Linked DNA regions of Coturnix japonica. The protein of the gene in region 2 interacts with the protein of the main gene of each other region in a biochemical or structural test. Links are inferred from orthologs where the notes say so. Each region holds a gene or a part of one and is shown on either strand. Other genes may lie near its edges.

What was found. The genes of interacting proteins can lie anywhere in the genome.
Region 1: the proteins of SLC9A1 (region 2) and TESC form a complex in vitro, tested with the Homo sapiens proteins (4 studies listed by BioGRID and IntAct, with this or other methods). The link is inferred for Coturnix japonica from reciprocal best matches to the Homo sapiens genes SLC9A1 and TESC.

What each region holds. Positions count from the first base shown.
Region 1 is NC_029530.1:10,142,339-10,146,605, reverse strand, and holds the start of TESC (calcineurin B homologous protein 3), read right to left. Parts: upstream 2,978-4,267; coding exon 2,916-2,977; intron 2,248-2,915; coding exon 2,176-2,247; intron 1,883-2,175; coding exon 1,802-1,882; intron 1,395-1,801; coding exon 1,255-1,394; intron 1,181-1,254; coding exon 1,119-1,180; intron 1,051-1,118; coding exon 943-1,050; intron 860-942; coding exon 812-859; intron 747-811; coding exon 669-746; 3' UTR 592-668; intron 1-591. Other genes in the region: FBXO21 (F-box only protein 21), read right to left, coding at 4,025-4,203. UniProt on the Homo sapiens protein: Functions as an integral cofactor in cell pH regulation by controlling plasma membrane-type Na(+)/H(+) exchange activity. Promotes the maturation, transport, cell surface stability and exchange activity of SLC9A1/NHE1 at the plasma membrane.
Region 2 is NC_029538.1:1,686,524-1,691,025, forward strand, and holds the start of SLC9A1 (sodium/hydrogen exchanger 1), read right to left. Parts: upstream 3,055-4,502; 5' UTR 2,958-3,054; coding exon 2,630-2,957; intron 1-2,629. UniProt on the Homo sapiens protein: Electroneutral Na(+) /H(+) antiporter that extrudes Na(+) in exchange for external protons driven by the inward sodium ion chemical gradient, protecting cells from acidification that occurs from metabolism.

The DNA.
Region 1 (4,267 bases), on a different chromosome or scaffold from region 2:
TGCTGCAGTATCTCTGAGCTGTCCCTGCTGGAAAGGAGCCCACATCTGAGTCCTGGAGCTGGGGAGCTCACTGTGCCCCACTGCTGCTGTGCCCCACTGCTGGGCGGGGGGCAGCTCCATGGCACGGGGGGAGTGGGTTTGTAAGACAACAACAAACACTTTTTTTTCCAGCTTCTCTAAAAATAACCACTGCCCTTTTCTCCCCTCCCTCCCTCCTGGCTCAGGCTGCCTTAGAGACAGAGATGTGCCTCGAGCCACCCGGTTATTAGTGCTGTAAGTGGAGTGTTATCTCTGATTCCAGTGGGAACATGTGGGGGCGGCAGCCACATGCAGCCTGTGTTCCTGGGTCCCCGGATCCCCACATCCCTTTGTCCCCGGTGACTCTTTGTTCCTGCATCCCTCAACTCTTGTGTCCCTTTGCTCCCATGCCCTTGTCCCCCCATGGCCTTGTGGCCCCATGATCCTATTATTCCCTGGGTGCCCATAACCTCCCATGGCACCATGGAGAACTCCATCAGGCGCCTGGCAGCAGCTGGAGCATTTCTCAGCAAAGAGTAAAAACAGAAATACCTTTTATTACAGATAAAATACCTCTTAATGGCTCTAAAGAGCAGAACGTGGCCTTGTGCCGGCGCTGTGGCGCTGGGAAGGCTCCGTCCTGCCCCCGGTCAGTAGCAGTGAGCGATGGCCTCCATGGTGAGGAAGCGGACGTGCATTTTGGTCTCGATGTCGATCCCCTTCCACATCTGCAGGGAAGGGGTGAGCGGGGCCGGGTGCTGGTGGGCGGCGGGGAGCGGAGTGAGGCACCAACCTTCAGGAAATCCTCGAAGGTGATGCCTTCATACACCTCATCCGGGCCCTGCGCACAGGGAGACAAACAGTCACAGCTGCAGCCGTGGCCCGTTCCAGCCCTGCAGTGCCACCCCCACCCCAACCTCGCACCGTGCGGGCCATGCACACGCTGGCAGCCTCCAGCATGGCCCCTTCTGCAATGGCACGCAGCGACTCCTTCTCCAGGTGGGGGTTCCCAGACATCAGCTCATCCAGCACCTGTGGGCAGTGGGGGCTGCGGTGGGCGGCGCGGCAGCGGGGAGGACCCCAGTGCCCACATACGTTACGTTTTTGTACTCCTGCAGCGTGATGATCCCGTCGTAGTCGGCGTCGTACATATGGAAGAGGACTGGGAGGGATGAGAAGGGATGTGGGGTCAGTGTGTGCCCCCCCTGAACCCGCCGCCCCGCAGCACTGCCTCACATTTGAGCTTCTCCTTGCGGAAGTTCTCCAGCCGCTCCTCGTCCATGTCCATCTCGATGGGTCTGAAGTAGGACATGATGGTCAGGAAGTCCTCGAAGTTGATCTCCTCTGCCAGCCCGGCCGGCGCCTTCCGCAGGTTCCTGATGGCAGCAGAGCTGATGGGGATGCAGCTGCAGCGACACAACCTGCCCCCCCACGGGCACCATGCAGCCCCAGGGCTGCTCGGCCACAGTAATCACAAATCACAGAGCATGGAGCACAGCACAGAGCACAGAGCACGGCGCCAGCGGATCCCGGAGCTCAGCTCCAATTTCCCTCATTCCCAGCCTGGCTCCGGCTCAGCCCAGCCTTTGTGCAGCCCTCAGTGGCCCCGGCTGCACAGACCTGTGGGTGCCCCATCCCCAGCGGTGCTCATGGCCATGGACGGGCGCTGGGCAGCCTCAGCTGGTGGGGGCAACCAGGGCAGGGGTTGGGGCTGGGGCTGGAAGGGCCCTTTTAGCCCAACCGCGCTGTGATTCTGTGCTCCCCCACTGGGGGCTGCACGTACCGCTTGTCGAAGAAGGCGTGAACAATTCGGGCCCTGATGGGGTTGAACTCGAGGTCGGGGATGGTGTCGAAGTCCTCTTTGCTGCACAGAATACACGGGGGGGGGGGGGGGAGAGGGAACGCTGCGGGCAGAAATCCCGGCCCGTCCTTAAAAACGCGACCACAAGGATTGGTTTTGCCCCAATATTGCGCCTCCTTTTCCCCAGCAGAAGCTGCCATTGAGCAGCGCTGTGTAGCAGCGGGGCCGGGCTGCCGGGCAGGGGGTGCTTTGTGCCCAACGCACGTAGGTCTGTGCGATGCTCCAGTGCTGGGCTCAGGGATCGGCGCTGCCTCCCTCCTCCCTCCTCCCTGCCCCGCAGCCGGCACAGCCCGTACCGGATGGTTTTCCTGTTGTGGCTCAGCTGCTTGAAGCGCCGGTGGAGCTTCTCGATCTGCTCTCCGAGGTGACTGCGGGGAAAGCGAGCGGTGAGGGGACAAACGGGGACACACCGGGAACCGCACGTGGGTGACGGGGCCGAGCCCAGCAGCGGGTCCGCGCTCAGTGCCGCTCCGTCTCCCTCTCTTTTATGATGTTTAATTAACGGCTCCATTAGTTACTGACGTTTCCCAGCCCTGAACCCGGCGCCGCATCGATCGGAGCTCTCAGTGCCCCCAAAGGCACCGGAGAGCCGCTGTGCTTCACTCAGCTCCCGCGGGCAGCACTGGGGACTGTGGGGTCCCTCTGCGGTGCCGGTGGGGCCCCCAACCACCCCCCATCCCATCCCATCCCACAACCCATCCCACAACCCATCCCATCCCACAACCCATCCCATCCCACAGCGTACACCGCAGTTAGGAACGGGCCATCCCATCCCATCCCATCCCATCCCATCCCATCCCCGGGCTGTTCTCTGCTACTGCTGCAAACCCAAATAATCCCTGATGATCCTCATTGGGAATCGCAGTCACAGCGCGGCTGGAGGTGTGCTGCGGTGTGTCAGCCCCGCGTCTCCCCGCAGCGCGATGCCGGGGGACAAGCAATCAGCCAACCCCTCATCCCACCCCACGGGGGCTGTAGGGCGCTGCCGTCCCACGCTGTCCCCCCCTATCGCTCCCCTCCCACCCGCGGTCACTACTCACAGCCGGTTCGTTCCGCCAGCGCCCGCATCTCGGGGGGCACAGACTGTGCGGAGCCCATGGCCCCGCCGCGCCGCCGCTGTGCGCACAGGGAACCGCGCGGCCGGGAGCGCTGCGGGCGGGGAGCGCCCCGCCCAACCTGCAGCACCGCCCCGGGACCGCCCCGCCACCAGGGGGCGGCACCGGCACCTCCATCCCAACCCAACCTGGAGCAGTTCGGCAGCTCTTTCTCCCAGTCGATACCCGTGGCCAGAACGGAAGGGCTGAGTGCCCCCTGTGCCCCCCCAGCACCGCATCCAGCCTCGTCTGCCGGCAGCCGAAGGGCTCCGAGCTGCAGCGATCAGCAGATCAGCAATTCAGCTCCAGGCTGGCCGCCTTCCAGCCATCATCCCGCTGTGCCAGCAGCACCGACAGGAGCACACACAGCAGGGGCTGCGAACCCACAGCGCTGAAGCAGCACTGAGTGGGTCGGAGCCATCCTGGGATGGCACACACAGGGCAGGGTAAGGGAGCAGCAGCTCCGCTCCTGCATTAGGACAGTGTGCTGCTCCCTGGGCTCCTCCCCGGGCCTGTGAGGATGGTCAGAACTAGAACAGCTCTGTGAATGACCAGAATATGGAGGTGAAGCAGCTTCCCACAAATTGAGACTGGAGCAGACAGAGTGGAACGTCAGGCTTTAAAAACTATCATCTGCGTGAGATATACGTTAAGAAAATTAAATCACAACCAAAACAAAAACCCCACAACACTGTCAGGACAAGCAGCTTCTCTGGAAGACGGGGGTTCCTCCACAGCAGGGATCTCACAGCGCCGACCTTCCAGGCGGGACAAGCACAGAACGAGTCTGTGGGCAGATGTTCCCAAGGACAACACGCTCCTCAGCACCACCGTCAATGTGAGACCCTCAGCTCATACCACAGCATCCCTGTGGGCCAGAACGGGCAGGGAGGCAACGGAAAGATGCATTAGCACCGGTTACAAAGTTTAATGCAGTTTTCAGTGCATTAAGCCAAAGGATTGTCACCAAACTTGCCCCCTCTGGGCAAGGTTTGCAAAGAGGGTAAAGCTACACTCTGTTCTGCGTCCATCCTCGCGATGCTGCTGCCATTCACTCCTTGCCGGAGCTGTAGATCTTCTGCACTGTGGCACACGTCAGCTGCAGGTCCTCCGGGTACCGGATCTCCAGCTCAGTGTTGGCCAGGTAGTGAGTGCCAGTGAACTCAGAGAAGTAGCGGCCGATGTCGGGGTGTGGGATCTCACGAGGCTCCGAGTTGTGCTCCAGGTTCTCTGCAGGACAGAGAGCGGGTCAGTTCCACCACAAGGCAAAACAAGGCGTCCTGCATATGGGCAG
Region 2 (4,502 bases):
CGCTGCGTTGGGCTCTGAATTCACGTCATTCATGAGCAAAAGGATGGCACAGCTCAGGGCCATGCAGGGACCCCACAGCACCCTGTAGGAAATAACATCCCCAGGACCCATTTGCACTACGTGGCTGCTCCCTGGAGTGGGGCTATGGAGCTGTGGGATGCAGCAGGGCTGGGCTCCATCACAGCCCAGTCCTTAAGCAGGATGGAAACGGCACCTCTGTGCTTTGTGGTTCTAAATGGCAGAGCCTGAGGAGATGGAGCTGAGCCTGAGCCCTCCCCAAGGCCAGCAGCATATAGATGGGAGCAGGGGCTGAGCAGCACAGCACCACCAGCCCCAGCCCATGGAGCAAAGGGACCACGCTGCAGCCTGCTGGCACATTGCTGCCTCATTCTTCCCCTTCCCCCCCGGCAAAGGAAAAACATTTACAACCGAACCCAACTTGCACTGTGACGGTTCTGAGACAAAGTCTGGCTGCAGTGCTCCCAGCAGCTCCAACTGATGCTGCTCCACCTCCACCAGCACAGCCAGTGCTGGGAGCTGAGTGCATGGAGCTGGGGAAGCTGCAGCAGCACTGCTGAGTCTGTCCCTCACCCCCACCCCTCTCCCACACAGCCTTAAAATACCACTTGGTGCGAAGGGAAGCGCTCAGCAGGAGCCTCCCCTTCCGTGTGGGATGAGGGGAAGCAGAAGCAGCTCGAGCCTGTGGGCCGTGGATTGGTCACACATCAGTGCTGTGCCCCCAGGAAGGGAAGGAAGCGTCCATCAGCCAGCAGCAAAAAGAAGCCACCAACCTCTGGGATGCCCCTGCACTGAGCCCCGCTGCTGTTCATGGCACACAACACTGCTGTGGTTTGGCAGGAAGCTGCTGCACTGCTGGGATAGCTGGGGGAGATGGACAACAGGAGGCACCGAGCTGCAATTAGAGCCACGCTGTTAATTCCCAGCCCACACTGTGTTTGTTCCCCTCTTTGAGGGAGCTGCCTTGCAAAGCCCTACTGGATGGGCAGGGATGGGCTCAGGGGAGATGTTTGTCCCCAACAGAACCCCTTGGGAAGTTGCAAAGCAGCTCCTCCATCAATGCAGCTCCTCCAGCAATGCAACTCCTCCATCAATGCAGCTCCTCCAGCAATGCAGCTCCTCCAGCAATGCAGCTCCTCCAGCAATGCAGCCCCTCCAGCAATGCAGCTCCTCCATCACAGCCTTGCATAACGCTTTCAGTGCAACAGGACCCAGGCTCAGCTCACAACCAGGAATAACTTCCCATAGGCACAAAGGGAAGAAGCAGCTCCACTGCTGGGCTCCACGCTGCGGCGTTGCTCACAGCCGTTGCTTTTGGCTCCTCCTTTCTCCTTCAGCTTCCGCACAGACACTCCGGATTTCATCACTCATTCTGCTCCGAGCAGGATGAAGCCAAGGCAGCGCCACAGCCCCCAGCACCCAGCAGAGGCCGCGTGGTTTGGGGATCTGGTGTTTCCTGGTGTGTGGTTCCTCTTTAGGCACCCTAAAGCCATGTAGGTTGGAGCTGCACCTCCTGCTCGGCTGCTTTGCTCTGTTCCCTCCCAGAAATGCAGTGAGCTGCTGGGGCTGGAATGTTTTCCCTTGTAAATCAAGCACGAAGGAAGGGGAAGGAAAATGGGGTTTAACCAGGCAGTGCACATGAATGGGGTGGGGTACGGCGGGGCACGGTGTGCATGGGGGTCACCTGGACCCCTCTGCGCTGAGCAGAGCAGGGGTTGGAGCACTCAGTGCACAAAGCACCGTTCCCATTAAGTCACAGCTCTCCATGAGGAACAACTGCCGTTAAACCCGATGGGAATTGAGGTGCAAAACCCACGGGAATGCAGAGCTGCTCCCATCCCTGCCCCCCTTCCAACCTGGAAAAGGGAACAGCGCAGAGAAGCCCTCGGAGCTGGGCACTGCTCACAGCCGGGGCTGCTGCACTGCATCCCTTAATGGGGTGATTCCCCCACTATCAAAGCTGGGGAAGCACTCGAGTAACCGCGGCCACTTTGTGTCCCATCATCCTGAGCCACATTGAGCTGCCCAGCGGGTTGTGCTGCAGGCAGGGATAGGAGGGAAGGGAGCACGGAGCTGTTAGAAAGGATTTCTCCAAGGTTACAAAAGGCACAAGGTGGGTTTGGAAAGGAAACAAAGCACCGAACAAAAGCTTCCTCCCCACCGGTGGAGAAAGCAAAACTAAAACGTCAGGGTGCAAGGGAGGATCCGCTGTGGGGTGGCATTAGAACCATCTGTAGGGTTGGGGGGCACTGTGCTGCTGCCAGGCCTGCGGCAAACACAAGGTCGTGGGGAGAGAGGAGGATGCCCACTGCTGCTGTGGGATGGGGGGGTTCGTGTGGGCACTGGGATGCACCGGGGGGGCTGCCCTGAGAGGACAGGGGGGCTGCAATGGGGTGTGCAGGGTTTGTGAGCCCAGGGGGTTGCATGGGGGGGTTGCAATTGGGTGCTCATAGGGCTGCAGTCAATCAGGGGGTCTCAGGGCTCACAGTGGGGATCTCAGCGGGATGCTCACAGCACCCACCCCCTGCACCCAAAGGGTCCCTCCCTCCCGGGGGTCTCCAGCCCCGCGGTGCTCCCTCCCCCCCCCCACCCCCCAGCCCCCAGCCCCTACCCATCTTCATCAGGCAGGCCAGTAGGATCCAGAGCGCGATCTCGAAGGGGATGCGGACGTGCGAGTAGTCGATGCTGAGCACGGGGAAAGCCTTGCGGGTCTTGGGGTGCCCCTCTGCCGAATGGTTGTGGTGCTGCCTGTTCAGCGGGTGAACCTCCTGCGCCGTGGCCGGGGGGGCGGCGGTGATACCCCCGGCTTTAACCCACGGCTGCTCCTCGGTGGGTTCGGGACCGTGCGAGGCGTTGGCCTGCAAACCCTGCCCGGGTAACAGCGGGCCCAGCAGCAGCAGCAGAGCCCAGGGAAGGGCTCGCAGGGCCGCGGCCCCCATGGCCGAGGGAGCCGGGGCCGCCCCGCAGAGACGCTGCGAGGAGATGGGACGGCAGCGGAACGACGGTACATCCCGGGGCGGCCGGGGGGGGACGCGGGGAGGAGGCGGAGGCGGAACGTGGAGAGCTGGGAGGGGACGGGGCGGGGTGAGACGGGGGGCACCGGGAATGGGAGGGAGGGGGGTTAAAGGGGGGATTAAAGGGGATGTAAACGGGGGTGCTGAAAGGCAGGGACAGACTGCAAAGGGTGACGGTGGGAACGGTGAAAAGCAGGGTGTAACTTTAAGGAGGGGGGTTAAAGGGGGGCAAGGGATAAAGAGGGGTGCTGAAAAGGGGCGTAAGGCTGCAGGGTGCAATGGGGATGGGAGCGGGGTGCAAAGCGGGGTGCAGGTGTTAAGGGTTGCTTAGGGTGGGAAGGGGAGGTGTGTGGTGCAAAGGGGGTATAACTTTAAGGGGGGGCAGAGGGGGGTTGGGACTAAAGGGGGGTGCTGAGAAGCAGGGAGTGACTGCAAAGGGTGCAGCAGGAATGGGAGGTGCAAAGTGGGGTGCAGCTGCAAAGTGGGGTGTTACTTTAAGGAGGGGGTAAGTGATGCAAGGACAAAGGGGGGTTGGTGAAAGGGGGGGTGCTGAAAAACAGGGTGTAACTGCAGTGGGTGCAAGGGAATGGGGGGATGAGGGGCATGGTGCAAAGCAGGGTGCAAATGCAAAGCGAGGTGCAGCGCAAAGAGCAGTGCAAGCTTTGAAGAGGAGGGGTGCAAACACAAGGTGGGATGTGCTGAAGAGCGAGGTGCAACTGCTAATGGGGGCCTGGGGTTGTACTGCAGGGTTGCACAGGGGTGAGGTGCAATGCAAAGCTGGGTGCAACTGCAGAGGGGTGCAGAGGTGCAATGCAAAGCTGGTTGTGGGGACTGTGGTTGAGCCAGAGCAAAAAGTTATGGTGAACCAGTGCAAGGAGAAGGAAGTGCAGACGTCTCGCCAGGAGCTTGCACGAATGTTATAGCAAAGGAAATAAGCAGCAAGGATGTTCTCTAGGTTGAGCTGTGCGTGATTAGTGATAAGCCCTGGGTGGAGATCTGACATGATAATGAGCAACCACCTGAGGTTAATGAGCTGGCGCTGAGCTTGCGCACGCGTGTTACGGAGCAAGTTAAGTAACAAGAAGAGAAGCAATGGGTGACGCCATGCGTGCTTAGGCTGGCACCCAGCTCTGGGTGTGCTTGCTTTGAGAGCTGTTGCCTGGCACCCAACTCTGCAAAGACCTGAAATAAAAGTTCAGCGGTGCAATTCAGCTCCGTGTGCTCGTTGGTTTTAGGGTGCTGTGCAACAAGGGGAGTGCTAAAGCAAGGGGAGGTGGGGTGCAAGGTGAGGTGCTGGGGTGCAGAGCAAAGGGATGGATGTGCAAGGTGTGCTGAGGCTGCATATGGACCAAGGGGCCATAATGCAAGGTGTGAAAGGAAGGGAGAGGAGGGGATCTGGGTGCAGGTCCATGGGGTGCTGCTGGAAGGGTGACAGCTACAGCATGACACTGTGTTATGCGGCTGCTTCAC